Linked DNA regions of Diceros bicornis minor. The protein of the gene in region 3 purifies or fractionates together with the protein of the main gene of each other region. This does not show direct contact. Links are inferred from orthologs where the notes say so. Each region holds a gene or a part of one and is shown on either strand. Other genes may lie near its edges.

The links.
Region 1: the proteins of DCAF7 (region 3) and DIAPH1 purify together in Homo sapiens (affinity purification with mass spectrometry; 5 studies listed by BioGRID and IntAct, counting the BioPlex papers as one, with this or other methods). This does not show direct contact. The link is inferred for Diceros bicornis minor from reciprocal best matches to the Homo sapiens genes DCAF7 and DIAPH1.
Region 2: the proteins of DCAF7 (region 3) and ZNF703 purify together in Homo sapiens (co-immunoprecipitation; 5 studies listed by BioGRID and IntAct, counting the BioPlex papers as one, with this or other methods). This does not show direct contact. The link is inferred for Diceros bicornis minor from reciprocal best matches to the Homo sapiens genes DCAF7 and ZNF703.
Region 4: the proteins of DCAF7 (region 3) and ZNF503 purify together in Homo sapiens (affinity purification with mass spectrometry; 4 studies listed by BioGRID and IntAct, counting the BioPlex papers as one, with this or other methods). This does not show direct contact. The link is inferred for Diceros bicornis minor from reciprocal best matches to the Homo sapiens genes DCAF7 and ZNF503.

The regions. Positions count from the first base shown.
Region 1 is NC_080740.1:59,774,113-59,781,771, forward strand, and holds the start of DIAPH1 (protein diaphanous homolog 1), read right to left. Parts: upstream 3,136-7,659; 5' UTR 3,059-3,135; coding exon 2,942-3,058; intron 1-2,941. Other genes in the region: HDAC3 (histone deacetylase 3), read right to left, coding at 5,833-5,902. UniProt on the Homo sapiens protein: Actin nucleation and elongation factor required for the assembly of F-actin structures, such as actin cables and stress fibers. Binds to the barbed end of the actin filament and slows down actin polymerization and depolymerization.
Region 2 is NC_080768.1:34,455,974-34,463,572, reverse strand, and holds the start of ZNF703 (zinc finger protein 703), read right to left. Parts: upstream 3,020-7,599; 5' UTR 2,732-3,019; coding exon 2,489-2,731; intron 1,483-2,488; coding exon 1-1,482. UniProt on the Homo sapiens protein: Transcriptional corepressor which does not bind directly to DNA and may regulate transcription through recruitment of histone deacetylases to gene promoters. Regulates cell adhesion, migration and proliferation.
Region 3 is NC_080757.1:46,427,151-46,434,339, reverse strand, and holds the start of DCAF7 (DDB1- and CUL4-associated factor 7), read right to left. Parts: upstream 3,156-7,189; 5' UTR 2,970-3,155; coding exon 2,832-2,969; intron 1-2,831. Other genes in the region: KCNH6 (potassium voltage-gated channel subfamily H member 6), read right to left, coding at 6,706-6,990. UniProt on the Homo sapiens protein: Involved in craniofacial development. Acts upstream of the EDN1 pathway and is required for formation of the upper jaw equivalent, the palatoquadrate. The activity required for EDN1 pathway function differs between the first and second arches.
Region 4 is NC_080745.1:31,464,462-31,471,849, reverse strand, and holds the start of ZNF503 (zinc finger protein 503), read right to left. Parts: upstream 3,154-7,388; 5' UTR 2,719-3,153; coding exon 2,419-2,718; intron 1,710-2,418; coding exon 81-1,709; 3' UTR 1-80. UniProt on the Homo sapiens protein: May function as a transcriptional repressor.

The DNA.
Region 1 (7,659 bases), on a different chromosome or scaffold from region 3:
TGCAGCCTCCTAACATCCTGGTTATACTCACTCCCCTTACACACATTTCAGAAATCAGTCTATTTGACACCCACATTCATCACTGCTGAAAAGTCAGAAAACACTCTATTCATTCAGAATTTTTATTTTCCTTCATCTTAAGGACTTCTGAAAGGAACTAGAATAATGCCAGAGAAGGGATAAACACGCTCATGGCCCAGGAGAAGACAGACTTATGAAGAACCAAGGGGGAAGAACCAAGGGGGAATACCAAGTAGCCTGGCTTCAGCCACAAATGTCAGAACTCTAACCACCACGTGTTTTTAAAAGATGATTCCCAACCACTTTTTAAGCTCAGACTCCATGTCCTTTCCACACAAATGCCTCAGGAGGTAAGAGTAGATCTTAGGCAATTTGTGAGCTCTGTTCTCATCAGCTGATCTGTATTTAGAACCTGCATAAGCCTGGAAAGGTACGCAGCAGCTAAAGAGATTAGTAACCCCTCAGATGCAAACAAATAACCTTCGCACACACTAAGTCACAAACCAGTGCAGTTTCATAAAGTACATTCTTAACGGAGTTCCAGAGGACACACTCTAGAAAAGGTGGAGTAGGCGAAACAGCTTTGAGTTCACTTTTAGCCTGTAGTTCAAGAAAACTAAGCCATGGGTAACAAAAGCACACCAGCCATCTCACCCACTCCACCCACCCACATATACATACACAGCCACAAAGAGAAGTGGATTGCAATGCTCCTCCTAGTCTCTCATTTCCACGGAGTTCTCATAAAAAGAGCAATGAGAAAGACAATATTTTGATGCCTTGAGGTACATTATAGTTGGCAATAAAGGGGGTAAGAAGCACTACTTTCCTAGAAACTTTCCAATCCCCTAGCTACCAGTGCAATTCTCCTCAGTGCAATGCTACATACATTTTAAAATTCAGCAGGTTAAGAGTTAAGACCAACACCTAAGAAAAAGAGAACTTGGTTCAGCTCCACCTTCTTCCAAAGCAAATACCAACAGCTCTGAGCCAAATCCACTCAGCATATACAAGACTCCATGGACATTCCAAAAAACAGGTGAAAAGAAGTTCAGCTTCCTCAGGTATCTGAGGTGTTTCAGCACCACACACTTAGTAGATTTCACAAATTTGTGAAACACACAAGTGTTAGATCAAAAAAAAAGCACACATAAAATTCTATTAAGTACTTGAAAAACATTTACAAGTCACAGAGGTCACTATAAATCAGCAGGAGTAGCTGGAATTCGGGTGAGGAAGGTCAAACAGTACCCATGGAAACAAAAGCAAAACAAAAAGATACAGAAATAGAATAGGGGCCCTAGAACTTAAGTCTTAGGAGGAAAGCTCTCTAACTAGAGGGTTGAGTCTTATCCTAAAGAAACGAGGAAATGTTGCCTTAGTCACCATATGGGGAGGGTCACCACTACTATTTACATTTCTGGAAAAAAACGGTGTTGGCCAGATAAAAACAGGCAGTTACTAACAGCCTGTAAGTCACTGGAAAGGACAGTCTAGAAGCACCTGCCTTGCTAGAAATAGGAAGAGATGAGTCACTATTTTAATTCTGTTTAGTCCCCTCCACGCTTCAACCCTCTAGGTCCCAAAGCAACACTTTCTTCCTGTTTCCATCACTTTGTCAGTTTTCTTCTCAAACTTAAGTTGGGTCAGAACGCTAAGAAGTGGGGATAAGAGAAAGACAGAGGAAAGAGAAGCCATTTGGTTAGTAAAAAGAGATACTGGAGTGGGGGTGTGACTACCTGGAAGAGAAGACTAAGTAACTACAGGTACAACTAGCAAATGATTATTAAGATACAAGACTCTCCCTCTCTTGGATAGTGCCCCATATCTTTCAAAGCATTTACCGTAAGCAGCAAACAGCTCCTTGGAGAAAGGAGTAAAAAAGAGCATTTAGTGTGGGCAAAGGTAAAGAAAAATGACAGTGTTACATGAATATCAGTATTCCTTCAGACTCGGATTGGAAGTAACTGGCACCTGAGGAAAGCAACACTCTTCTACAGGTGGGAAAAGGGATCTCAGTAGCCTTGGGGCACAAGAGGTGGCAGAAGAGTAGAGGATGGTTATCATGGGAAATGTATAAAAAGCAACACAGTTACCCACAAACTTCTTGGACTTGCCGACTAACTTCCTCCCCACGGGGGAGGTTTATCACCATCCTAGCTCAAGAAGGGCACGAGCATGAGAGAAGCTGTACCTCCCTGAAAAGTGATAAGCAACAGGGCAGAGAGACAGGTTCTCTGGATAGAGAACTACTGGGAAGCAAATTCACGTCATGACCAGTGACCACAGCACCTGGGCAGCAACCCATTCCTGCAATCGCCAGGACACGTCCAAGGGAGGAGGGCAGGTAGGGCTCAAGTCACGTAACATTCCTGAGGGGAAGAATTATCAGGTGACACCGGGCTGAGGGCCCAGAGGTGGGACTCGGGGGGGAGGAAAGTTAGCAGGTGAAAGGGATCAATCTCAGAGAAGGAAGTGACCTTTGGAGAGGCAAAGAAGAGAATACCAAAAAAGGGGGGAAGGGTAATAAGCGAAAATGGACCCGGAAAAGCACAGAGAACCAAGATAGTGATACCTCGGGCAATAGAGGAAGAAGAAAGGAAGTGGGGCTGAGAGGGAAGAGATGGGGCTGAGACCGGCCGGGGCTATGGGGGCGGAGGCAGAGCGTGCGGGCTAGGGGACGAAGGAAGCCCCGAGGTTGCCGGGGCAAGAGCCGGGTGGGACTCTGGGGCTCCCCGAGGTCCCGGGGGGTTAGGATGTTGGGCTGCGGAGCCCAGGACCGAGCAAAACCAGGAAGGGAGGCGCGGAGGCGGCTCCCTAGAGACCGGCGTGCACCCCTGGGGCCGGCTGCGGGGATCTCCGGGGTCCAGTGGGCGGTTACGGGGCCAGGCTGAGGGAGCCGGGCGGGAGGGACACTCACAAATTTCTTGGATTTGCCGCCGTCGCCGCCCGCCGAAGGCAGCTCGTCCGGGCTCCGGCCCTTCTTCTTGTCCCGGGACCCGCGGCCGGGCCCCAGGCCCCCGCCCTGCGGCTCCATGTCCAGGTTCGCGCTGGAGAGTGACCCTGCGCCTACGCCGCTCCCGCCCGGCAGCTCTGAGCAAGCTGCCGCTGCCGCCGCCCAGCAGCTCCTTAGCCCGCTGCCGCGCCCCGCCTTATTAGCATGCCGGCTGCGCGCGCCTCATGAATATACAACGGCGACGCCTAGCTCCCGCCCGCGTGCCCCACTTCCGCCCGGACCCGCAGCCCCTACCAATGGGGGAAGGGACAGGGGTGGAGGGAAGCCGCGGAAACGCGCTACCTGCCCGGCGGGCCTAACCATTCGGATTCACGTGGGGGGGTGGTGAGCGGGCGGTGCAACTCTCTGCGGCCTCAACAGGGAACGGCGCCCCCTAGAGGCTGGAGCGGCGCAGGCCTCCCCGCTCCCACACAGTGCCCACGTGGCTGTAAAACCTGGACCCTCTGACACCCCAGACCAGGATATTATCTGAACCAAAATTCGCATAAGAGACTGTTATCTTGGCAGAAAATGTAGTGCCAGGCTTTCCAGGATAATACAGTTTTTATGTGGGCCATACCTATGGAGAACATGAAAAAATAAAGAAGTAACAGCTACCATTTATTGAAAGCTATGTGCCAAGAACAGAGCTTGGTGCAGGGCAAGTGCTAGACTGGAACTCGACTGGCTCTGGAGTTAGATTACCTAGTTTTGAATCCCAGGTCTGCTATTTTCTAGTTGTGTTTCTAATCTGGAAAAACTACTTACTGCCAACTTATGCCTAAACAGTAATAATAGTTACCATTTACAATGCAGTTGCTCTCTGCCAGGTACTATGCAAAACACTCTACAAGTATTTTTTTTTATAATTTTTATTTATTTATTTACTTTTTCCCCCCAAAGCCCCAGTAGATAGTTGTATGTCATAGCTGCACATCCTTCTAGTTGCTGTATGTGGGACGTGGCCTCAGCATGGCCGGAGAAGCAGTGTGTCGGTGCACGCCCAGGATCCGAACCCGGTCCGCCAGCAGCGGAGCGCGCGCACCTAACCGCTAAGCCACGGGGCCGGCCCTCTACATGTATTTTCTCACTGAATCCTCACAATGCCATGTGATCGATTCCACTAGTCTCACCATTTTACAGATAGGAAGTTGGAACTTGGAGAGTTGAAGTGACTTGCCCAAGAACACATAATTGATAGAAAATTTAAACCCAGGTTAGTCTGACTGCCAAGCCCTATGTTTAACCAGGATTCCCTACTGACATAAACCAAACCTGAGTGAAAAGAACAGGTGTTCTCCAAGAGTATGTTCTTTGTTCTACTAGCTTGATTTCCCCCTCAGTAATTTCATCCATTCTCCCAGGTACATGTCTCTTGTGTGAAAAGTAAGTGGTACCTAGTAGGGCCTCAAAGTATGGACAACATTATCTTGCCCACAGCTGGCAAAAGATTTCAAATGTATGTCCCTGGAGGGCAGAGTCAGTGACTTACTCTGGAGCCCCCAGTGCTCAGGCTAGGGCCTAGTATACTACAGGGACTCCGCCAAACTGGCTGGATCCTAAATCTGGCCTTTACCTCGTGTTCCACTTTCTATTTGCTTGATGAAAAGTTGCATAGAACTGTCCAGCCCACACTTTGAACTCAATTTGTCCAAAACAGTTCAAAAGCTACTTACTTTCTAAGCTAGAGTGTTGAGAAGCAGACAGGATCCAAGCATGGAAAGAGTGACCCATCTATTACTCTTCTTTCTTGTACCACTGTCCACATCTGCTATAGCATTTATCTCACTCCTTACTGGATTGTAAACTCCTCCAGGGAAGGGACCATGTTTGTAGGTACTACAGTATCTAGCACTGTTCTTCACATAGACAGTTAAGATAATGAGCAACTACTTATGGCAGGTACTGTGCTAAGCACTTGACATATTTTATCTCAGTGTATCTTCACCAACCAGCATCACCATTCCAAATGCCCAGGTTCAAAAACCTGAAGTTATCCTCTGCTCCCTCTCTTAAGCTAGTAATCTGCCCAGGTTTGTCTAACTCTTAACCAGAATGCTCTATTAACTCCCTATATATGAGTAAGATAATCCATGCAGAATACATATACCTAACATAAGTGCTAAATGAATGTTAAGTATGATTTTTATTATATACATCATCACTTCCATTTCCTCTCTTGTCATATCTGGGCAGCTAGCAAAAATTAAGAATATTACCAGAAAGGCAAAAGGTACAAAAAATACCAACTTGGTTTATTGGATAAAAACAGTGGTAAAATGGACATAAAACCAAAAGTCAGAACAGGACATTTTCACATCCTCTCCCAACTCAAAACCGCACTTCTCATCATCTGGGCTCAAGGTGTTAGGGAGCCAGAGGCCCCTAAAATCCCTCAATCTTCACCTGCACTGGAAGTAAGGCCTGCAGTTGGACCCAGGAAAGGAGGAAGTCAGAGGCAACCTCAGTCCTGTCTACTCCTCAGCCCTCAAAGTCTCTGGGTTGGAGGGAAGCAGGGAAGGAATAAGGGGGTCAGAGGGGCTGGTATTGGCTTGTAGGGCCCACTGCTTAAGATGTCCTAGAGACAGCTATCCTTGTCCCCACCCAATCCTTAATAGGTACCATTGTCAGGCCTTGGGAAGGAGAGGAAAGGGGATAGTTGGTTCGAGAACCAGATGTGGTCTCCAAACCCTCCCCTAGCATTGGTAAAAACCCGGAAGGTGACCGGTCCAGGGCTAGGGGAGCCACACCTTTTCCCTCCCACCCAATCAAGAGGTAAAAAGGAATTCCTTGGGATACAGCAAGCCTAGCCGCTCTTAAATCTCCACGTCGCTTTCCTTGTCGTTGTCATGGTCTCCATCATAGAACTCATTGGGTGCCTCTGGCCTGCAAAGCAAGGGGAGAGAGGTCAGGGTCCCACTCTCCAAGTTCCAATCTTCTCCCACATAGGCACCCTCTCTGGAGCCATTTCTCAGGCCCCCTTTGTCAGAGAACCACTCTTCTCCTTCTGTTGGTACAGACTGATCACCAGTCATTCATCCATTCATATAGTCAATACCCATTTATTGAGAGACTGCTCTGTGCCAGACACTGTCACAAGCCCTAGCAATACAGTAGAGAATAAGTCAGACAAAATTTCTGCCTATCTCAAAAAACGTACCTAATAAATGAGACTGACAATAACCAACAAAGTAAACAAATAAACATGATAACTTCAGATGGTGGAAAGTGCTATGAATAAAACGAAATAAAGCGATGTGACTGAGAGTGATGGGAGGAAAAGGGTAAAACTTCAGACAAGATTATTAGGGAAGGCTGTTCTAAGCAGGTAAGACCTGAAGTCTGAGAAGGAACTGGCCAGGCAAAGATCTCAGGAAGACCATTCCAAGCTGCAAGAAAACCAAGTACAGAGGTTGTAAGGTGGAAGGAGATTGATGTATTCCAGTAAGAGCAAGGAGACCAGGATGGCTGGGAGTAGTGTGCATGGAGCAGAGTAGTCAGAGATGAGACCAGGGATGTAGGTATGGGCCAGCATGCAGGGCCTTTTAAAGCCATGGTCAGAAATCTGGATTTTCTTCTAAGTGCAATTAGAAGGGAAGCTTCAGGGCCGGCCCCGTGGCTTAGCGGTTCTGTGCGTGCACTACGCTACTGGCAGCCAGGGTTGGGATCCCGGGCGCGCACCCACGCACCGCTTCTCCAGCCACGCTGAGGCCGCGTCCCACATACAGCAACTAGAAGGATGTGCAACTATGACATAACTATCTACTGGGGCTTTGGGGGAAAAAAAAGGAGGAGGATTGGCAATAGATGTTAGCTCAGAGCCAGTCTTCCTCAGCAAAAAGAGGAGGATTAGCACGGATATTAGCTCAGGGCTGATCTTCCTCACAAAAAAAAAAAAAAAAAAGAAGGGAAGCTTCGAGCAGAAGAATGACATGATATTATAAACCTGTAGTGGGTGAAGGGATGTGAAAGCAACACAATAAGGGTCCAATAAGTATTCAATACTGGTTCCTTTCTTTTTGGAAAACTATTCTCTGGGAGAATATGAATAACTCATAACTGAACTCTCTTGCCCACAGCTGATAACTGAGAAAGAAGGGAGAAAGTCATCAAAGAGAAGTTGGGGAACTAAGTCAGGAAAGGCCTTCTCTGCCTGGTAAGCAATGTCTCAGTTACCTCTGCACAAGGGTTAAAGGTGTGGAGTCAGAGACTCAGGTTTGAATCTCAGCCTTGATATTTAACTAGCTGTGGGACCTTGGAAAGTTATTTAACCTCTCTGAGCCTTAGATTCTTCTTCTGGTAATTTAAGGATAACAGCCACCTCTTAGGGTTGTCTGACGGCAACAAAATGATGACAGGATGATATGTATGTTTTAATATAAAGCACTTAGTATTGAGTCTGGTGCTTAGCAAACCCACAGAAAGTGGTAGCTCATTATTACTACTCTGTAAATGATATGCAAGCTGGAGCTATAAACATCAAAGAACAGGAACTCAGTGGGTGGTCTGACAGTGAGGTAAGGCTTAGGACAGGAAGAGGACTGAGGCTTCTGCTGGCTGTTGAGAGGGGGTGGTATAATGCAGAGACTAGGCCCAGATCCCAGCCTAGTCTGGAACTATAGGTGAAAAATCTATAGCCTAGA
Region 2 (7,599 bases), on a different chromosome or scaffold from region 3:
TGGTGAGTAGTAGGGTCCAGCTGTGGGGAGGGATGGCACGGCCAGGCCCCCAGCCGTGGATAAGTGGCTCTTGCCATAGGGGTGGTACCGGCTTAGCCCCAAAGTGTGTGGACTCCGCAATGACAGCGACCCGGGGCTGCCCGGCGCGGTGGGCGGGGGGAGGTGCAGATGGCAGGAGGCGGCGGCCGCAGCGGCCGCAGCGGCGCTGCCCAGGCCCGAGGCTCCGGGGTAGGCGGCCAGAAGTTTCTCCGCGCCCGGGAGGGCCGTGTGAGTCCGTAGGTGGCTGAGCAGCTCTTCCGAGGTGGCGAAGCGCTTGTCGCACGGCCCGCTGGCCGCCACCCAGTTGCAGCTGTGCGGCAGCGGTTCGTTCTGCAGCATGAAGCCGTAGGTGTAGAGCGGGTGGCCCGGGAGCGCGGCCTGGGCGGCGCTGGACGAGAGCGCGGCGGGCTGCAGCGGGTGCCCGGGGTACACCAGCGGGTAGCCCCCCGCCTTCAGGCTGGGCCCGGCCGGGTCGTGCGCGCTGCAGGTGGAGCAGCTGGAGCCGCCGAGGTGCGAGGCGCTGTGGTAACCTCCCAGGCAGTAGGGGTCGCGGCATAATCCCTGCAGGAAGGAGGGCGGGGAGGCCCCGGTGAGCGGGCTGGAGCTGGGGGGCTTGCCCGGAGGCAGGCCCAGGCCCCCCGAGAGCTGGCCTCCCACAAGGCCAGACTTGCTAGGATCCAGGCCAGGCACGAACTGGGACGGGTAGCCGGCGTAGGCGCCCACGATGGAGCCATGGTAGCCGATGCTGGAGGGAGGCAGCGGGAACACCGAGTGGCCTGGTTTGTAGGGTGACACTGGCGCCACATGGCCAGCCCCCACCAGCGCCGAAGGCGGCTCCGACTTGCGCCCGGAGGCCCCGGCCTCGGCGGCGCCGCCGCCGTGTGCGCCGGGCTCCGCACCGCTGCCGCGGCTCACGGCCGCGGGCTCCGGGCTGGGCTTCGGTTCCTGGTCTTTCTTGTCCAGCTCCCCGCCGCCACCCCCGCCACCGTTCTTGCAGTCAGAGTGGTGCGGAGAGCCACCCCGGGAGCCACCGGGCGAGGACGAGGACGACGACGCGGAGACCGGTGCTCCGTGCGGGGGAAAGGGCGTGCAGGAGGCGCTGGGGACCCTGAAGCCCGCCTTGTCTCCCGGGGACAAGGAGGACGAGGAGGAGGTGGAGGACACCGAGGAGGAGCCGCTGTCTTTGCGGGAGTCGCCGCCTCCGGCGCCCTTGGAGTAGGGCTTGAAGCTGGACTTGTCCTCGGCCGGGGAGTCCCCCAGCTGCTTGAGCGCCGCGGACGCGGAGGCGGCGCCCGAGGCCGCGCGCCCGGGGTCCTTCTCCGCTCCCAGCCCGTTGGCCGCCGCCGCTACCGAGTTGAGCTTGGACGAGGGCGGCGGGTCCGGCTTGCCGATCTGCGAGCAAGTCTGGGCCAGCAGCGCCAGTGGACTCTTCTTGGCGTCCAGCTGTGGGAGACAGCGGCAAGAGGAGGGAGATGGGGGTGAGACTACGAGACCGACGGCGCAAGCGGGGGTGCCTGGGGAGCTGGGGCGGGGGGCGCGGGGACCACGGTAGGCGGCGGGACGGGGCGGGAAGGCCTTGGCGAGAGGGTCTGAGAGCGAGGGCCGGCCGTGCGGGGCGGCTGGGCGGAACAGCGCTCACACTGCCCGTCGGTGGGATCCCCCGCTTCCCGGGGGCCCAGAGTGCGCCACAGGCCCCGGGGAATGGGGCCTTGGAAGCAGTCCACCCAAGGCACTGCGGGACATGGTGACTTCTCTGGAGTTGAAGCTGGGGGAGAGGCTGTGACTCCCCCTTCCCTCTAATCACCCTCTTCTCTATGTCCAGGGAAAAACTTATTCCTTCAGTTTGGGGAACTTCGCTTGGGACGGGTTTCTGGCGGTGGCGCCGCGGGTAGGAGTGAGGAGAAGCGCATTCTAAAGCGCTAAAGCGAGGGCTGCCGTTGGCGCTCTCTTGGTAGCCCCTCCCTCCCGGGGAGGGCACCCAGGGAAGTGGGAGGAAGAAAGACCTGGGATCGGGAGTGCCTGGGCGTAGTGAGCTCTAACCGGATGGGACAGAGGCGGAGTGGGACGGGGGCGACCGAGCTTCAAAGAGACCAAACCGGGATGGGGGTGGGGGGTGGGAAACGCCAGGGCGATATCATCTCTGGCCTGGAAACTGGGTGCCCAGAGGAAAAGTAAAGGACCCAGTGGAGGCTCCAAGAGCAAACCCAATCGGAGAGAAAACACGTAGCTCCGCAGGGCGAGCGTGGAAGGGGAACCTTCCACGGAGAAGCCTGGGGAGAACCGGGTGGGCTCTGATCCCTCTGTTCTCCGTCTCTCCTCACTCCGTCCGCCAGCGTGGCCCGACACGAGCGTCGCACCCAGCCCCGGGGCGCAGGGAGCAGGGCCGTGGGCCGGGCCGTGGTGGGCGCAATGGGGCCGGCGCTGGGCGGGCAGCGACCAGGAGACTGACCTCAATGGGGCTGACGGGAGTGGAGGACAGCGGCTGCAGGTACTCCGGGTGCAGGAGGTGGCCGGTGTGAGCGCTCAGCATCTTCAGGACCCTGATAGGGAGCCGGTTCGCCTGGCGCAGGGGGTCCGCCGGGGGCAAGAGGGACACCGCCGCCGGCACCGCCGGCCTCTTCCCGCCGCCGCCGCTGCCGCTGCCGCTGCTTTCGGGTGTCCTTGGGTTAGATCCAGCGGGCGAATCGCTCATTTGGAGGAGGCAGCGCCACTGGGGGGGCGGGGAGGGAGGGGGAGCACCGGGGAGGCGAGCTCCCGGGGCGGGTGGGCTCGCTCCGCAGCGTCGGGCGCGGTGCAGCAGTCGCTGCGCCTCCACCCCTCCTCCACCGCCGCCGCCGCAGCCCCGCCGCCGCCGCTAGCCCCGGCGAGCAACACAAAAACCTTCGCCTTCCGCGAGCCGCACGTCAAATAGCCGCGATCGGCAGCCACACTTCAAAGGGATCGCCGCGCCCGCCCAATCGCAGCTCTCGCCGGGACCCCGGGGCGGGGAGAGCGGCGGGCGGAGGCCGGCGCCGCCGGTGGGAGGGGAGAGCCTTAAAGGGGCCTCGCCTGCGCGCCGCCGCCGCCCCGGCCTTTACCACCCGCGGTACTCCTTCCCTCCCCCACTGGGCCGCCCTTGCCCTGGGGTCCCGCGGAGGACGAGACTTCCCCGGGACCCTGGGCTCTGCGCCCTACCCTCGGCTGGTTTTCCTTTCGCTCTCTCCTTTCCCTTCACACCGCCGGGTGTTGTGCTGGCGAGGGCAGTGACCCGCCGGCCGAGGGTGTCTGGGGTGGGGTGGATTGGGGTCGGGTGGGGGGTAGGAGCGCGCGGCGCCGGCTCCGGTACTGCGGAGTCCAAGCCGCTCCCAGAGGCCGCCTGGGGGCGGGCCGCGCCTCCAGAGCCCCAGCCCTGCTCGGGCTCTGCTCCGGTTCAGCTCTCTTCCCCTAATTGGCTTCTCCCGGGAGTGCTTGCTTGGAAGCGTCCGAGCGTCGGAGGCGTCCACGGTTCTCGGGACGCGGCGTAAGCCGCTCCAACTACTTTGAGCCAGTCCTGTCCGAAGCCTGCAAGTTTGAGGACTCCCTTCCAGGGTGAGATGGTCGCGATGAAGCGCGGTACCCCTGGCTATACGCACCCCCCGACGCGCCTGGCGCGCGGTGGCCGCGCGCTGATTTATAGGTTCGGTGTTTGGGTGTGTTTCAGGTTTGCTATCGTATCCAGTTTAGAGGCGTAAAATTCCTGCCCTGCACCGCGCCTAGTTGCTATTTTGGGGGAAGCCGGGATCACTGGAGAGGCCGGTATCCCAGAGGAGGGGAGATCTCTCTTTAGGTGCTGCAGGTCGTTACAAACTCCAGAGATGCGCGGCCCCTCCCCCCATCCTTCTTGCGAGTGTTGGGGGGAGGGGTAATGCACTAGCTTTTCCCAGGGAAATTTCGGAATAAAAACTTTTTATTAAAAATAACAATACCCTCTTCCCCCCTCCCCGCCGCGCGCCTTTCGGATAAAGTGTGCGTTGCCAGATTCGCACTTGGCAGAGATTTTACATAGTCATAGTCCTGACATTAAAGTTCCCGGTCCGCGATCGTCAGAAGGTTAAGCTGGTCCTTTGTGCGCCGGCCTCCGGCTAGACCAAGTCTCCGTGCTCTCGGCGGCCAGTGGAGGCGCGCTGGTGACACTGTCTCGCTTCGAGTACCACTTTCCCAGCCCCAATCCATCACTCCGATTGTCAGGCCTGTCGCTCGGGGCATATTGCTCCAGGACTACCCGTCCCCGACTCTGCCGCGCCTTGAGACAACATGAGAACTCAAGATGGGGATAGGTGATTTCAAAGGGGCTCTTCAAACAGAAAGAAATAACTATCACGGAAATAACAAATAGCAATCACGAACCTTTATCATGCCCAGTGAAGACAGCAGGCACCACTCCCAGGCCATGACAATCATACACTAAACTAAATCTACTCCCTGGATCCGTGCTGATTTTTGGGGCAGTATGAGTGGACCTCTTAGCAATACACAGGTTAAAAAAATGCCAAGGGCTGCCCTGACTGGGAGATGTCTTTCATACTGCAGCAAGAGGGATACAAGCAGGGGGGGATCCCATTTATTTTATTGTGGTGGTCTCTATTCCCCGCCCCCCCAGCTCTTCTCATGCCAGCCTCTGAAGTCTGACATTGCTGTCACTGCCAATACTACATTACAGGGCTTCTTCAACCTACAGGGCCGTTCGGCCTTTGGGAGACTGCTATGCCGACAGCGAACAGGAGAGTGCCTTCCAGAGTGGAGAGGGTGGGCCTTTGGGGCACCTTGGAGGAGGAAGAGCTGGGAAGAGGGGAGACCTAGGGGACAGTAAAAGATGAAAGACTCCTTCTTGATTATTGTAACTAGCCCAGCTGTGAAAGCCCACCAAGAACTCCTTCTAGGGCCCAAGCAGATGTGTGTGTTAGGAATGATTAATGGGAAATCAGTTGGGAGGAAAGGGGAGGGGGAGAGAGAGAAAGGGCATTTAGGAATTTGGAAGGAAAAGAGGAGCAGGAGGCAGCAGAAAGGAGAGAGGAGAACAGAGGATGATAGAATGTTTACTCTCTATTTGGAGAGGAAGAGAGAAGAAGAAGGTAGTGAACGAATGAAAGAAAGGGAGAAAGGCGGAGGCTGGGACAGGATGGCTCGTGGTGGCGGGTGGGGAATTTGCCTAGGTAATAATATATTGTCCTTTAAAAAACCCCACTCCCTTAGCTCACAGCAGTAATCACTGATAGGAACAGTGGGCGCCAGACAGCGTGGAGGTGGAGACCAGACCTGGCGTCCCCCTACTCCCACCACATTGGAAAATGCTAACAAGGGAGTAGGGACACCCTTCCCTTTGGGGTGCTGGTAAGGGCAGCAGGGCTCCTTTGCCTGGCTCCATCCATTTGCCTTAGGAGAGAACATGGAACACCATAATTAGCCAGGCCGGAAGCCTAATTAAAAGACAGCTAGAGGATTATTACAATCAGGATCTGACATTCACTTACCTGAACCTGTAACCTATACAGAGTCCTAAAAGGGGCCCTAGTAGTCTAAAGCAAGGACAGCTTTCAAAGGAATGGCTTGTCACCAGAAGAGAATAAGGCTCAGTATTCAGTTGGGCCAGGTTTATTGAGGGCCAGCTGTAGGCAGAGCATGTGCTAGGGGTGTGGTTGAAAAGTCCGTGCAAGACGTTGTCGCAGAGGGTATATGGCACACGGCCTCCCCTTGCAGAAAAGTGGCAGATGTATGATTAAGGGGTCTCCATCTATCCAGGCCCTTCTCAGATTGCCCTGGGAGTGAGCAGCACCATTAAAATAGGACAGGGGTGAGCGCTGCTGGAGACTGCCCCGTGCCATTGTGGTGAAGAGTAACAATTCTATGCTGCTGGAGACTGCCCCGTGCCATTGTGGTGAAGAATAACAATTCTGTGCGTGGGGCACTTGATAAACATCAGGTACTGTTGTCATGCCCATTGACAACTGAAGAGAGGGAGGCGTGGAGAACTTAGTCCCTTGCCCAAAGTCACATGCCGGGTGAGTGGCAGAACGGTCACTTGGGGTCTGGGCTCTGGGAGGCAGGCCTCTGAACCATGATGCTGGGGTGGTCCCTGGCAAGCTAACCTCCCCAAGCTGTTGTTTCTCATGTGCGAAACGCAAGAGTGGCCACCTCAGAGTTGGGAGGCCGGAAGCAGACAACGCATGTCACACGTTTAGTGCTTGGCACTAAGAAAGGCACAGGTAAATGAGGGCTGTGGTCCATGCATCATCTGTGGGGCAGTTGCTCTGGAGAGCAGCCATGGTGCCAACCGATCCGGAGGGCACAGACCAGAAGACCCAAGCTGTCCAAGAATTCTCCGGAAATGAGAGTCACCCCCTCCCCCAGCCACCAGTCAAATCTGTCTTTTAAAAAAATGCCCCCACAAGCCATCAAGAAAATCCTTTAGGAAATTCTGAATATTTATAGATTTTTTTCCACGACTTCAATTTACAGAAAATTCGCCACCCAGGAAAAAATGCCTGAGTCAGGTGGAGAGCTAGAGGTGGGAGGTTTGTTGTGTGGGGTTACCGTGGAGCTTTCCATCCTCGCTGAGGCAGAATTGCCTGAATGATCGGCTCTCTCTGCATAACACTCAAACCCTAATGGCAACAACGTGAAGTAATATCTCACTGGGTAACTATTTACATTTTTTTTTTTTTAATAAGCTGTAAGAACTCTGAAAAGTCTGCCTCATAGAGAACTTGGTTTTCCTCCCTGGCGCTTAATATCTTTCAGCGGCTGGCAATTACTGTCTTGGCCGGGAGCCCTGATTTCGCGCACTGCGCTCAGGGCACTCGGAGGCGCTTCCTCCGTCTGCCCCATCCCCGGGCTGCAGACCCAGCTTGGGCATGAGAGGGCCAGACGGGCAGAGGAACAGTGGGAGCAAACCAGAACAGCCAGCCTTGCAGGGAGCCCCCTCGAGTAGCTCCCTCTTCCATGTTCTCATAGTTCTATTATGTTCTATTATTACACTTATCACATGGCATCTGTCATTGTTTGTTTACTTGTCCACTCTCTCACTGGACTGCGAATGCTGCTCTATTGTGCCCATCCTCTTTGTATTCTTATGGCCTAGCAAGGTGTTTATCATCCTCACAGTAGCCAACACTGAGAGCCAGGCAGTGTTGTCAGCACTTTGCATGCATTACCTCATTTAATTCTCACAGAAGCCCTATGAGGTAGGTCCTGTCATTACCTTATTACCCCATTTCGTAGAGGAGGAAATGGAGGCACAGAGAGGTTAAGTAACTTGCCCAAAGTCCCAGCTGCTAAGAGGTGGGGCTGGGGTGTGAATCCAGGCAGTCTGAATGCCATAAGTGCCCAATAGATGTTTGTTGATGAATGAATAAGAATTTTACACAGAGAAGGCTATTGATTGATTTCACACCTCATCAGATTCCCAAAAAGATTCAAGGCGGATGACTTTGTATATTTCAAAATGTTACCTATATAAGCTGTTCAAGTATCTTTTCCCAAGTACATGTTTGTGTTTATCATCTCGCAACAATTTTCTGAGTTATTTTGGGCAGGTGTTTTTAT
Region 3 (7,189 bases):
TGAAAATTCCAACCGGTAATTCGTCAATTCCTCTAAATTATGAAGTCTGGCGCCTCCAAAGCAAGGTTTCTCCAAAACTGAACCTGAGAATCACTGCATTAAAGTGGGATTTACTGCCCACCATCCCTTAGGCACAGATCCTCTGCAGCCAGGTTTCTTAACTTGAGGTCCGTGAACCTGAATTGGAGAATCATTCATATTTTCACTAATCTCTAACTGAAATTTAGCATTTCCTTCCATTACAAACAGAGGCAGCTACTCACAGCAGCATCAATATCTGTGACTCCGTCACCAGTAGAAATCACTGATTTTTTTTTCATATCACAGTACAGTAATTAAACATCTTAAAATGGCATTTACCCTCATTACTACTTCAAAATTACAGTAATAATTACACTGGATGGTGTAATCTAATGAGTTAATTTAAAAGTACATATTACTATATCACCACTTTTTTTTTTTTTAACTTTTATTTATTTATTTTCCCCCCAAAGCCCCAGTAGATAGTTGTATGTCACAGCTGCACATCCTTCTAGTTGCTGTATGTGGGACTCGGCCTCAGCATGGCCGGAGAAGCGGTGCGTCGGTGCACTCCCGGGATCCGAACCCGGGCGGCCAGCAACGGAGCGCGCGCACTTAACCGCTAAGCCACAGGGCCGGCCCCAATATACCACAGGGCCGGCCCCAATATATCACCACTTTTTAAAAAATGTTTTTGATAACTGTAGTTCAAAATAATTGGTTTCCTTTGTAATCCTATGTATTTTATGCATTTGGAAACATAATTATGAAAAGAGATCTATTGGCTTCAGATTGCCAAAGCTGTCCATGGTGCACACACACACACACAAAAGTTAAGAACCCTGACCTAGATAGGTGGGGGCACAAAAACAGTTTTAAGACACTGCATTGCCTACATCACTGGAGTGAGTTAACATAGTTAACTGCTTGTTCCCTTACTACTAGGATTATTAGTTTGCATTTCACTACTAAGACCACACTGCCTTTGTGCCTGGCACAAAGAAAGAGCTCTATACAGTTGCTAAATGAAAGGACAAACTTTGGGGCAGAGTTACTGTAACTGAGGTTTGATGTCAATTACTCCACTGATTCCACCAGCAGCCTAACTGTGGCTCTGTTTCTCCTTTCTTAGAAATGGGACTACTACTGCTTACCCAAATAGATGCTGGAAGAACTTGCAAGGAAAAAAAAAAAAAAAACACACATCAATTTGGGTGAAAAAAACTCAAGCCCCTTGAAAGACATATTTTGCTTTTTTTTTTTTTTTTTTTAACATGTATCCTTAAACAATAGTTCTAGCGGTCTCAACTTGACTAACACAGTTTCCACACTAGGACCTTGAATTCCATTCCCAGCTCTGCTGTCTACTATGGGCCATAAGGAAGAAAGAAGCATCAGAGAAAAAAAAATAAAGCTATGTCTTACTCAGGACTCTCTGCTTTCTGTGGACAATGGGTAGACTACAAGATCAGTGCATACTCCCTGGGATTTGTTTGTAAATTGTGTACGTGTAATGTCTGGGCAATGAGAGCCCATCACTTTCATCAGTTTCTCAAAGGGAATTCCAAAGAAATTTAAGACCTAACTCTAGAGAAACAGCTGTGCTCCTGAAAAACTGTAACCAAACTTACTATGTTCAAATAGTTTTTACATGACCTTCATGTATAAAAAAGAACCCCTTTCCTACAATAAACTGTGAGTCAGAAACAAGACTGACCTGTGCAATGCCCCATAGCTAGTCAATGGACCAGACAGGACTCAACCCTAGACCATTTGGCTTTTTCCCCCTGCACCATGCCTGTCACTGTCCATACAGTTTTATTCTCTTAAATCATGCTGTTCATGGTGTTAAGCAGGAGCACAGGCTTTAAACACCATTAGCCAAGGCTTTCAGTTGCTCTGATCACTATCAATCACAATGTTTACTCTAATACAATAAAAGGAAGAGATAAAGGGGTAAAGAAAATTCTCCCCATTGACTTATTCAACAACTTTCAAAAATAAATTTATGCTGCACTGCCAGCTTCAAAGCTACCTCCTACTACCCGTGCTTCTAGGAAGGGTTCTCAAATTCTGGATGTCCAGAAACTTAACTACTCGGGTTACACAGCTGTATTAGCATGCAAGAAGGCAAGAAAAGACACGGCAAGTGTCATCCTTCTCTACTCAGAAAACAACGGCGGGATCACGGCCATGGGCCAAGATTTTCAGAAAGAGATCGCTTTGAAAACGACGGATATCAGGCAGCAACAGCAATGGCAATCCTGGCAGAAGGGCTAGGGGCATGAATAGTACCAGAGAGTGGGAGTAGGGGGCGGGGAAGCCCGCGCAGTGAAGAGTCCTAAGAGAAATCTGGTGTAGCCAGGAGTGAATGACTACCAACTGAGGAGCCAGCCTTTTCCTTCATATCCATCCCTCTCTCTTACCTCCTTCGCCCCACAACTGAAGCAATGCGGCAGGAGAGGAGGAGGACAGGAATGATAAAGGGCACAGATTTGGGTGGAAACTCGGGTTTGAGACCTGTTTCCACCACGAAACAGCTGTCTGAGTCGGGCAAGTCACAACACTGTGCCTCAGTTTCCCCATCAGTAAAATGGGGGTAACCACACTCCTGACTACACAGGAACGCTGCCAGGATTAAACGAGACAACGACTGCGAAACCCTCTGCACAGGGCCAAACTCAGAGGAACCGCTCCGTGAAGCTAAGGCAAGTTCGCAGAAGGGTCCTGGGGTTTGGGGTCCAGCCCGGAGAGGGCGCTCCCGGGGCCCGCTCCCCGCCAGCCGGGTTCCGAGCCCCTGCCCGGCCCACCTTGTTGTTGTACTCCTCCACGAAGCTGCCCAGCGCCAGGCGAAAGCGCTTGTCGGGCCGCACGCTCCAATTCATGGCGTAGACGGTCCAGGGCGCTTCATACTTGTAGATCTCCTTCCGTTTGCCGTGCAGGGACATGGTGGCGGCGGCGGGGCCGCAGGGCGGGCCGGGACTACAGCGGGCTGCGGCGGGCGGGGCACGGGTCGGGCAGAGAGCCGGGCCGGAGACGGAGAGGGTCCGAAGGGAGGCGGGGCGGGGGCGGGCAGAGACGGCCTAGCCCGGAAGCGGGGCAGCGACAACAAACAACGACGGCCGGGCCCGACCCTCAGTTTAAAACCCGCTTCGGCTCGGACAACCACCACCTTCCGTTTGAGACGCCGCCCCGCCCTCTCGGAACGGAAGCCACGCGGCCCACGCAGCGGCGCCGGCCGTTGGCTGCCTGACACGTCCGTTCGAACAGTTCCTTCTTCTCATTGGCTATTGCACCGTAACTTCTGAAACCTCTTCACTATTGGCGTAAATGTCTGTCATTTCAATTACTTGCCCTGCCCAATTCCAAGGGAGGGGGGGGCCCCGGCGCTTTCGCAGTCCCGAAGGTCATTGGCTGACAAAGATGTCAGTCAGAGAGATAACAGCGCAGTGCGCGTGAATGGGGTGAGGGCGTGGGAGGCATAGGAGGCTAGCGTGCGGAGCGGCAGGCCTTCAAGTTCTAGGCCAAGTCTCCGAGAGCGAGAGCTCTTGTGTAACGTGCTCTCACTCCCCCTGTGCAGGTGCTATTCCGAGTGGCTATGCCACTCTGTCGAGTAAAAATTAAAATTCTGCCTTTCCTGAGGGCCTGCTGCATTTCGCGTCACTGAGCCCCGCGGCCTGGCAGCCTGGCCCGCGCTACACGCGAACCACCTTAATTCCCCACTCGTGCCAACGCCCTGTTTAAGCCGGAGAGTTGTTCTCCCAGTGCCCCAAGGGCAGGCCCGCCGGTGTACTCAGGGCCAGGCCAGCTTCAGTCGGGCCGTCCTGTGCTTTCCTGGCCACCGTCCCGTGCTTTCCTGGCCATTGTAGAAACACGCAGAGTTGCAGGGTTGGAATTCAGTAGGCAGCGACCCGAGCAGCTTGGCTCTAAGTTTTTGTGGTTGCCCTCCCGTTCCTTCACCGCTGAGGGTCCTAAGGCAAATGCTTGAATCAAGCCCTAAGTATACCTGTGCCAGTGAGTTTGAAATGGAGGAGGGTCCCATCTAGGTAATGTCTCCATAATTTAAATGGTTTCCAATTCTTTGCTTTCAGTAAAATTAAAGGATTGTATTGAATTGTTAGATGATATCATTAAATATAGTTTTCAATGATAAATGTGATTGTTAACAGACAACTCAGAAAGAATTCAAATTGAGTGACACTGCCATATATAACAAATCCCTTAGATTCCCATCTACTTACTTATGTGAACAAGTTTTCTCTGTGCGTAAGTTTTTAAAAAAGAAAAAAATAAATAGGTACAAAAATGTTGAGGGGCGTGCCCGGTGGCTTAGTGGTTAACCGCTACCGGCAGCCGGGTTCCGGCGCGCAGCACCGCACCGCTTCTCCGGCCATGCTGAGGCCGCATCCCACATATAGCAACTAGAAGGATGTGCAGCTATGACATACAACCATCTACTGGGGCTTTGGGGGAAAAAAAGGAGGAGGATTGGCAATGGATGTTAGCTCAGAGCCGGTCTTCCTCAGCAAAAAGAGGAGGATTAGCATGGATGTTAGCTCAGGGCTGATTTTCCTAACAACAACAAAAAAATGTTGAACCTTGAATATTATTATTCTAATAAAAAAATGATATTCATCCACACACATGAACTAATTGAGAGGAAAATACCCTTTTTTAAGAAATGCATTTCCAATAAAATTTGTTTTTATAAGAATTTGAATACATATTTATGTTGTTTTGAACAACTCTGTACTAAGTGTAACCCGTAAAGCCTTAGAAAGTTTACAAAAAATTGATTTTAAAATTTCAACATATATATATATTTGTGTTGCAAAGAGATATGATAAGTTTATCAATAATAGACTTTAAAGCATGGAAATAAATTACATGTAGCATAAACTGTGGGAGGAATAGAATGGAATTATGAGAAGAAAAAAAGGAATAATGTTAAAGAAGAGCTTGTTCTGATGTTTTTAAAATGAATGATGTTGGCTCTCAAATCACTATGCTATTTGGATCGAAATGGATCAATATAAATGGTATCATTTATAAAGTGTCAATATTTACAACACACTGGAAATTACATCCTTTGCAACTCTTTAAACTTATCAATGAAATACTTCAGACGTCAACTTAAAAATGTATGAAGGGAGAAATACATTTTCAAAATTTTTTAGGGAGTACTGGAACAAAAAGGACTGAAGACCAGTGACCAGGTACTTTTTGGACGATAGCCCATTTCAATGGAGTAGTTAACTGTACATGTTCTCAAGCTGGACCATCTGGGTTGAAATTACATCCTCTTTTTCCTATAATTTTGGGCAAGATTCTTTTTTTTTTTTTTTGGTGAGGAAGATTGGCCCTGAGCTAACATCTGTTGCCAATCTGCCTCTTTTTGCTTGAGGAAGATTGTCCCTGAGCTAACATCTATGCCAATCTTCCTCTATTTTTTTGTATGTAGGGACACCACCACAGCATGGCTTGATGAGTGGTGTGTAGGTCTGCACCCAGGATCCAAACCAGCAAACCCCGGGGCCACCGAAACGGAGAGCATGAACTTAACCGCTTCGTCACCAAGCCAGCCCCTGTTTTTTTTTTTAAATTGAAGTGTAGTTTACACATAGAAGTGCACGTATTTTCACAACCTGAAACATACTCATGTAACCAGCACCTAGATCAGGGAACAGAACAGTACAGCACCGCAGAAGTCCCCCTCATATGGTTAGGTAACTTTCTTAGTCTTTCTCTGCTTCTGATCCCACATCTCTAAAATGGGGATAATAATATCAACCCCACAGGGTTGTTGTGCAGATTAGGTGAACTAATATCTGCAGTGCAGTCAGCATGGTACCCAGCACTCAGTTAGTGTTATGGAAGTGTTTGCTGTTGTCATGATTCCTGATGGCCACCAAGCCAGCACCTCTCTGCTTCCCTTCACCCCAGCCTGGCTAAGAGCCCCATGATCCAGGGGCTCCTGGGCCTGATGGAGCCACCTTCAGGTCCCCAGCACACAGCTCCCTTGAGAGGGGCTTGGACAAGACAACAGATGTTGGGGTCATTGCACAGTCAAGAACCTGATGACCCTCAGGTAAGTTACACACCCAACTCAACATGAAATGTGCAGACTTTATTAGCTGTGAGGCACTCCACTGCCTGCTAGGGTCCCAAAGGTCCTTACAGAACCGTCAGGGGCAGAGCGGCCGAGGGCTGGAGCTCTGTGCCCTGATGTGTTCGCTACAGAGGACACTTTCATCTCCAGCTGGGTCACAGGCTCTAGGCAGGAGGTCTGACCAATCATGGGTGCTGGGCTGTGAGGTGGTGGATAGTTCTGAGCCAGGAGGTGATCACACCCAGCCCAGAGCAAGGCTCTCATACAAAAGATCGGAAACTTTTTCTCTTTTCCTCATTGACCTCTCTGTTCTGTAAGCTACCTCCATGCCCGAAGCTCACCCACCCTCCACCAGGCCCACTGTCTAAACAGCGCCCTGAAGGAGGCTGGGAAGAGTGCTGAGCCTCTCCACCCCCACTGTCTTGGGTCATCTGGGTTAGCACTTTATAGCTACTCTAGGAGAATGGTTGTCAGAGGCCCATTTTGGAGGCTATCTGCCTTCCCCAAATCCTTAACTTTCACCTCATCCACCTTCAGTCCCCTCATGGTGTCTTTTATCTTGGGGTTCAGTGGCTCTAACTCCCTGCAAATCCAGGATCTGAGCCATGTCTCTGGAACTCCAGCTGCTTGGGAATAGAGCTGAGATGTTCAGGGAAGGAGGGGAAGCGGGGACCACAGACAAGTCCCTGTACCTCCAGGGGACGCAGAGGAGAGGCCAGGGGTGGTAGGAGCCCCGCAGGCTGCTCCTGTTCCGAGAAGAGTGTTGTAGTTTTGTCCGCTGCCGTGATCAGGTGAGGTAACATGGAGGAGGAATTCCTGTGCTTCGGCCCACATTTGTCCAAGTCACCAGAGCTTGGGGTCTGAGGGAAGCAAGAAAGAGGGAGCCATGCAGTGTGGGGAGCCCCCCAAGCCACTCTGACTTCAAGGATGGGAACTGGCAGGAGCCGTGTCCTGCTGCCCTTGCCCTGGCTGTGGGGTCTGCAGTCACAATCTGGGCTTCGCCACCACCTGCCCAGGCTGCCCTTTATGGTCCCTCAGACCATAAAGGTGGACTGCAGA
Region 4 (7,388 bases), on a different chromosome or scaffold from region 3:
TGACAGTAGCCTCTGCCCTGTTCCCGCCCCTCCCCTCCCCCCAGCTCCTTTCTCTCCCTCGCTAGCCCTCCCGACAGCCCTCACTGATACCCCAGTGCCGAGGCCGTGGTCAGTCTCTGTCCGTAGAGGGCGTAGGGGGAGTAGTAGGGTCCGGTGGCGGCGGGCACGGGCACGGGAGCGCCGGGCGTAGGGAGCGGGCTCTTAGAGTAGGGGTGGTAGCGGCTGCTGAGTCCCAGCGCGTGGTGGGGGCTACGCAGCGCCAGCGTCCCGGGGCTGCCCGGAGCGCCGGACGTGGGGATGTGCATGTGGCAAGCCATGGCGGCCGCTGCGGCGCTGGCTAGAGACGACGAGCTGGGGTAGCCCGACAGCAGTTTGTCTGTCCCGGGGAAGGCCGTATGGGTCCGCAAGTGGCTCAGCAGCTCTTCGGACGTGGCGAAGCGCTTGTCACACGGCCCGTTGGCCGACACCCAGTTGCAGATGTGGGGGAGCGGGTCGTTAGGAAGCATGAAGCCGTAGGGGTAGAGGGGGTGGCCGGCCAGGGAGGGCGGCGTGGCGCCGGCAGCGGCGGCAGCCGTTAGCGATGAGTGCACGCCGTGCAGCGGGTGCGTGGGGTACACCAGCGGGTATCCGGACTTGAGCGCCGCGGCCGCAGCGGCCGGATCGTGCGCGCACGATGCGCTGGCTGCCGCCGCCCCTGCCAGGTGGCTGGCGCAGTGGTAGCTCAGGCAGTACGGGTCCCGGCACAAACTGGCTGTCATCACGGACGGCGGCGACGCCCCGGCCAAGGGGCTCGAGCCGGCCGGCTTACTGCAGCCTAGAGAGCCCGCCGCGGCCGCCGCCAGCTGCGCCCCAACCAGACTGCCGGGCTTGGTGGGGTCGAGCGCCACGCCGTGTGGCAGGAACTGGGGCGGGTAGCCGGCGTAGGCCCCAGCCAGGCTGCCTGGGTAGGTCATGCCCGCGGGAGGCAGAGGGAACACTGTCTGGCCCGGCTTGTAGGGCGATACAGGTGCCACCAGCCCAGAGCCCAGCACCGAGGAGGAGGTGGGCGCGCTGGGGCCCGAGCCGGAGCTGGAGCCCGATGATCCGCCGCAGTCCGAGCCTAGAGACTTGCCCCCGGGGCCCCCATCTGGGTGCTGGTTCACGTCCACATTAATCCCGCCGCCGCAGCTAATCCGGCCGTGCGCCAATCCCGTGGGTCCACCTTCGGCCGAGGCACCCCCGGAGCCCTTGCTGCTGCCACCGCCGCCGCCAGCGTCGGGGTCCTTCTTGTCGTCCTTGCCCTCTGGGCCGCCCCCGGCCGAAGGCAGCATGCCTCCAGGCGAGCAGGCCGAGGCGCTGGAGCTTGGGCTGCCTGTCCTGGGCGTGAATGGCTGACAGGTGGCGCTCGGTACCCGGAATCCGGACTTCTCCGCCGAAACCCCCCCTCCGCCGCCCCCGCCGCCCCCGCCGCCGCCGCCTCCCGGCTCCTTCTTATCCGAGCCGGGTTTAGAGTACGGCTTGAAACTCGACTTGTCTTCCACGCCGATGTCGCTCAGCTTGAGGGGGCCCGACTTTGCGTCCTTGTCGCCCCCAGCACCGCCGCCGGCACCGCCCCCGCCGCCCCCATTGGAGGCGACCGAGGAGAGTTTGGAGGAGGGCGAGGGGTCGGGCTTCCCGATCTGCGAGCATGTTTGCGCCAACAGCGCCAGCGGGCTCTTCTTGGCATCAAGCTGCGGGGTCAGATGGGGGCGGGGGGCACAAAGAGAAAAAACGGGAAACCCTTTAGAATCCTGGCTTCTAGAGTTCAAATGCCTCTCCGCAGCAGCCCTCGAAGATCTTTCCAGCCCCGAGGCGTAATTCTAGGCGGCTCCCCCACGACACACACATTCTCGCCCCTGAGAAGGCGGCAGCCCCCTCTCCGCCGCCCAAATCAGGATCTTTCCTGCCTTCTCTAAGCGCTAACTGGTTTTTTTTTAAAAACTCACAAAATCTTTTGGTTTCTGACTCCTAGCGCCAGAACTGTACCCCCCCCCCCAACACACATCCCTAATTCTTCAGAGTAAGGGCTCGAGCAGTTGGTGCCTGAGGCTGTGTACAAATACCAGCTTCTGGGGAAGCGGAGGACTGCGACTTTGGAACCGTATTTCGGACTCTCGTCCGTCTTCCGGGCCGAGAGTGCGGGGGCCTGGGTCGGGGCAGGGGCTTTAGTACCAAAGGGAGACAAGTTTTGGCTGCCTTGCCCCTCAGCATTCACACCGCATTCTACCTCCTCCCCTTTCCGCTCTAGTTTTAAGGTGCGGGAGCACTATCCTCGCCCCCTATCCCGGAGCTGAATCACTCCGAGCCCCCCACTCCCACCCCCAATCCCAAGAGAAAGAAATCTCGTGGAGCGACAGCCAGTGTGGTGGTCCTAGCGCGATACGAGGAGAGGGTCCTTACCTCAATGGGGCTGACGGGAGTGGACGGTAAGGGCTGCAGGTACTCGGGGTGCAAAATATGGCCAGTCCGTGCCGTCAGCATCTTCAGCACCTTGATGGGCAGGCGGTTAGCCTGGCGGAGAGGGTCAGAGGGGGGCACGGCGTGCACAAAAGGCTTGGTGCTGCCGGCCGGGGACGAGCCTGGGCCGGGGCCAGAGCTATTTCCAGAGAGCGCGCTGGTCCAGGCAGGGTCCGCACTGCCGCCGCCGCCGCCGCTGTGCTTACTGCTTCTTAGGGCAGAAAGCGAGGGCGCTGTGCTCATGACCCACCCGCGCGCATGGGAGCAGCGGGGGGAGGGCTCCGGGAGGCTCGGGGCGGGCTCGGGGCTGCGCGCTCGCCCGGGGAGCAGGAGCAGCAGCAGGAGGAGGAGCTGGCGCGGCGGCCAGGGGCGCCCAGCGCGCCTTCTCGGCGCCTGGAGCCAGAAGCGAATAATCCTGGGTGGCCCGCAGCGGAGCCGCGGCCGAGCGGGAGGAGCCGGCCCGACTGCAGGAGTGCTGGGTGGCTCGCGGTGTCCTCCTCGGACTGTGCCCCTGCGCTGCGCACTCGCGGCCCAGCGCTGGCGCTGCGCTCTGCGATGTGAGCCGCTGCCTGTCCAGCCGGGGCTCTGGCGAGGAAACTCACTTCAAAAGCAGCTGCACCGAGGGGGAGATTAAAGCCTTTGCCGCCTTCCAATCAAATGGGAGCCCGAGGTGATTGGAGGGTCAAGGGGATGTGACGCGTCCCGCGCCGCCGCCGCCGCCGCCGCCAGGACTCTCAGCGCTGGTTTTAATGGGCAGCTCCCTCTTCACCGCCCCCCCCTGCATGTCCCCTCCCTCGATTTAGCTCCGAGGACGAGCTGGACATTTATTCTATGTTTGGTATCTGCCGCCGCCCTCTTTTTTCCTCCTCGTCGTCGTTCCTTTTCTCAGGTCGAAAATAAACTGAAACCTTTTGCAGGAGGGAGCATGTGAGGAACAGATTGAGGGGGTGTTCAGAAGGAGCACCGGCGGGAGTCTGGACAACAGCCGGACTGTCAACTCTAGGTGCGAACAGTAGGCCCCCACACCAAATACTCTCTCCTCGGTAATTGAAATCTCTCCCGGCATGGCCCCAAGGGTAAGGAAAGGTGGGTAGCGTGTGTTGGAGGAAGTCTGCCCGCCCGCTTTGATTTCCCGAGATTGGGCGGTGGAGAAACCAGAAGCTAGGTGGGCAGCGGAGGCGGTGGCGGCTCATCTCCTAGCTGTGCGTCGCACTCCCCGCCCTTCCCCGCCACGTGATGCCCGGGGACGCGCAGATTGGGGCAAGAGCGGGGGTCACATGTTTCCTCTGTTTCACACTCAACCCCCCTCCCATTCTTACTCTCCCCTGCCACCCTGTCTCTTCCTCTCCCCCTGCCCCCCCCCCACTAGTTCTTTGGGCATCTCCACTCCTCCATCAATTGTCAATGTTCCTCGACCGCAATCAATCAGTTATTTGTCAGCTCTTGTCAATCCGCCCGTGATTTATGTCAGCTTTTGTTGCTGATTACAAGGCGGGTGCGACTTGAAGGGAAAAAGAGGGAGAGAGACAGAGAGGAAGGAAGAGACCGAGGGGGAACTGGAGGAGGGGGAAAGAGGAGCAGCCTTCTGGGATTGGGGGTGGGGGGTGCTTCAAGAAAAAGAATGGAAGAAGGGAAAGAGGCGCTCAGTGCCAGGAAAATGAATAGTAAGAGTAAAGTGCGCAGGTGCGCCCAGGGCGGTGAGATGGGTGCGCAGGCCTGGGGTGTGCGCCTCGCCCCTTTCGGTGTCGGAGAGAGAGATACACCCTTCCACCTCAGGGCACTTCAGTCCGTTGGGGCCGCGGAGTTCCGCGCGGCTCCCAGTACCCGAGGCGGGCAGCGGCGACGTCTTATATGGGATATTACCCCCTCTCCGCCGTAGTCCCTCGGGGGCGTGTAGCGTGCGGATGTGAGGCTGCCAGCCTGCCGCGGACCCCACCCTCCGTAGTGCCCCGACCCCAAACTTGGAGACTTCTAAGAGCCAGCCTCACCTTGAGTCCTAGAGGTCAATGGTGGGGTTACCTCTGGCCCCCGCCTCAATTTTTTGACTCCCCTCCCCCATCGTGGCTAGTGCTGAGAGGCTGCGAAGAACTGGCCTGATCGTGGGTGTATGGGGGGGATAAGTCTCAGGCTTACTCAGGCTCACCTCCCCAGTCCTCCCCTACCCCGCGCCATCCCTCCAAGCTTGGTAGCCAGGGTTACTCCGGGCTGCTCGCTTGAATTAATGGGAACGCCGATCTGGGACTGACCTGCGCTTGGGAGAGCAGAGAGAAGGAGCCAGAGAGGGAGGGGGCGGCTGCCTGTGGGAACACCGGCTCTTCCAGGGAAGCGGAGCGGGACTGCCGCGTTCCCCTCGATTTGCACTGTCACTCGCGCTGTTTGGAAGGAAGAAGGGAGGCGCTGTGCGTGTCTCCATGTACCTGGATCTGGGTGTACAAGTGTGTATGTATGCTTGTGCCGCTGTGTGAGTTGCCAGGGTTTTGGTAGCGTCCGGAGCGAGTTCGGGGGTCACCTCCAGAAACTCGCAGAAACTGGAAGGGGGCGAGAGGAGGACACATTCCTTTCCTCGGAAGGACTTGGAAGACTTTGAATCTCCCCTCCCCCACTTTTCCGCCACGGCTCTTCTTTTGTTGTCAAGTCCTTTTGATAAATGGTGGGGCAGGGAGCGCAGGGAGCCAGGAGCCAGTCTGTACCCGCACGGGGGGCGGGGACCCGGCCTGGAGACCCGGTTTCGAGCGGCGCTCACCCGGAGCTGAGCCGGGTACGCGCGGGAGTCGGGTCTGGAACCTGCCCTCGGCGTGCTCGCCCTCTCCTCTCTCACCACCCCGTTCCCCTCTCCCCCATTTTTGTCTCTGTCTCTCACTCCGCACAGGTACCGAGAACTTTCTGGGGTGAGTTTTAGAATTATCTTGTAGGCATTTTTTTCCCCTGCATTTTAATCTTATCCCTTGATTCTTTAGGTTGGTAAACTTCATGAGATGGTAACTTGACTAAAGATAATTTGGAGAAGAGGAGAGTGAGGCGGTGTGTATTTTGGGCTGCGGTTTGTTGGTGTGTGTATGTGTGCGCGTGTGTAGGTGTAAGAACACACCTGCGTTCAAGGGGGTTTGGAGTGTCTGCCTGTGCGACAACTGAGGGAGGTGAGTCCGTGAGACGGTGGCGAGGCCACAGGAGAGGTTGTGAAGGTTGTCTGAATAGTCTTTGGGGAGCGAGTCCCAGGTGCCCGTTTCTGAGAGCAGGACAGTCCTAAACTGCCTCTGTAGGGCAGCCTGTCTGTGAGGCCACTCGTATCCTGCGGGTGTGTTAGTGTCTGTCTGTGTCATTGAGTGCTCGGCTGTCGAGGTGTCGGCCCGGATCAACTGTAGAGCCCTTAGCTCTGCGAGCCCAGCCGTGGGCCGCCTGTCGCCGTGGCCTCCCCGCGAGGCCCAGACACTGAATGCTGGGGGCGGCGGCTAGAGCGGGAGGTGACCCCACCTCGCCTCCCCCGTTCCCCCTCCCCACCTTCTCCGGACTCAGTTCTTTCCCTTTCTTGGAATTCTAGCCATTTTCTTTTTACGCCGGGCTGTTTAGAGGCAGCAGCTTCAGCACCCAAAGCCTGGGGGAACCAGAGAGTGGCCCCCGCGACCCCCGGAATGGGCGTGCAGCGGTGTGGCCGCACACGCTCAGGGGCCTACACCGTGCTGCGCGCGCGGATCGTGGTCCGCGTGCATTCGCTCTTCGCAAAACCCATCTCCGAAAGTCGGAGCGCAGGGGGGCGCCTAGGGGCCTGCGCGCCCCGGGCTTTCGGGAGGTGCCAGCCTCCGAGCCTGCGCACCTCGCCAGGGAGGCCAAATCTCCGAAGGCTGCGCAGGCGGTGGGGGTGGGGGAGTTATTAATTACTCCGCGCTAGGCCTAAAGCCTCCAACCCCCAGCGGCGGTTGTCGTGGATGTCCTGCGGGTTTTATTTGCACACAATGGAAATGATTTGTTTTCTCTAAAAAAGAAGTAGGCACGGCAGATATTTGAGGAGGGGGTGGGAGGAGAAGGAAGGGGAGAGAGCTGAGGAAAAAAAGTTTGAAAATGCCTTGAACTATTCACTGTCGAGATGGCTAATCAGTATTGAGGCCGGAGGGCAGGCGGGCCGCCTTTCACCGCCGCTTGCCTTTCATCTCGGGCTCGGCGGAGGCGCTCAATTAAAAGCCTATCAGTTTGTAAGTAAATCAACGCCTATCAGAGTTGTCACATCAAACAAAACGATTATTATTGCAGCCCGCCTCCCCTATTAATCTCCCTCGAAGATAATCCGCCTGACAGGTCAGGCCCGGCGAGCTGGAAAGCCTGGCCCAGAGCGCCCAAACAGTCCCGGACTGGCGTGTGCCCCTGGGGGCCTCCCCACCCCGGTCCCGCCCCGCCTTGTGGTCCCCTGGGAGGGGGTAGAGAAAGAGTGCAAGGAGGCTGCTGGACCCAGGCCCGCCCCTCCAGACTGGGAGCGGGGCCCAGACTCGTGGGGCTGGTGTAGGACTGTCCCGGGCGGCCCTCGCCTCTTTTCGGGGCCGCGGAGGCACACGGCTTGCTGGAGCCGCTGCCTGGACTGGTCACGGGGCCTTGCCACGGCCTGCAGTCTTCTCGGCTCGCCTCCCCGGCTCTCTTTTTTTCCCCCTCTCTTCTTTCTTTTTTTTTTTGTTTCCTCTCCCGCTGCTTTCTTGGTTCCCTAATAATTTTCTTTTTCTCCCCTGTCCCCTTTCCCTACTTGCCAAGAAATATTTCCTATTCTCTCTCCCTTCTCTTGGTATACCGTATATACCACTTCGGCCCAGTCACACTCTTTGAAGCAGAGCATTCTCAGAGCCCGGGTTATTTCTCTGAGGCAGGGCTGTCTCAGGAATGTGCAATTCCGAGGAACTCATGACAAAGTCTTTCCTAATTTCTCCCCAAGC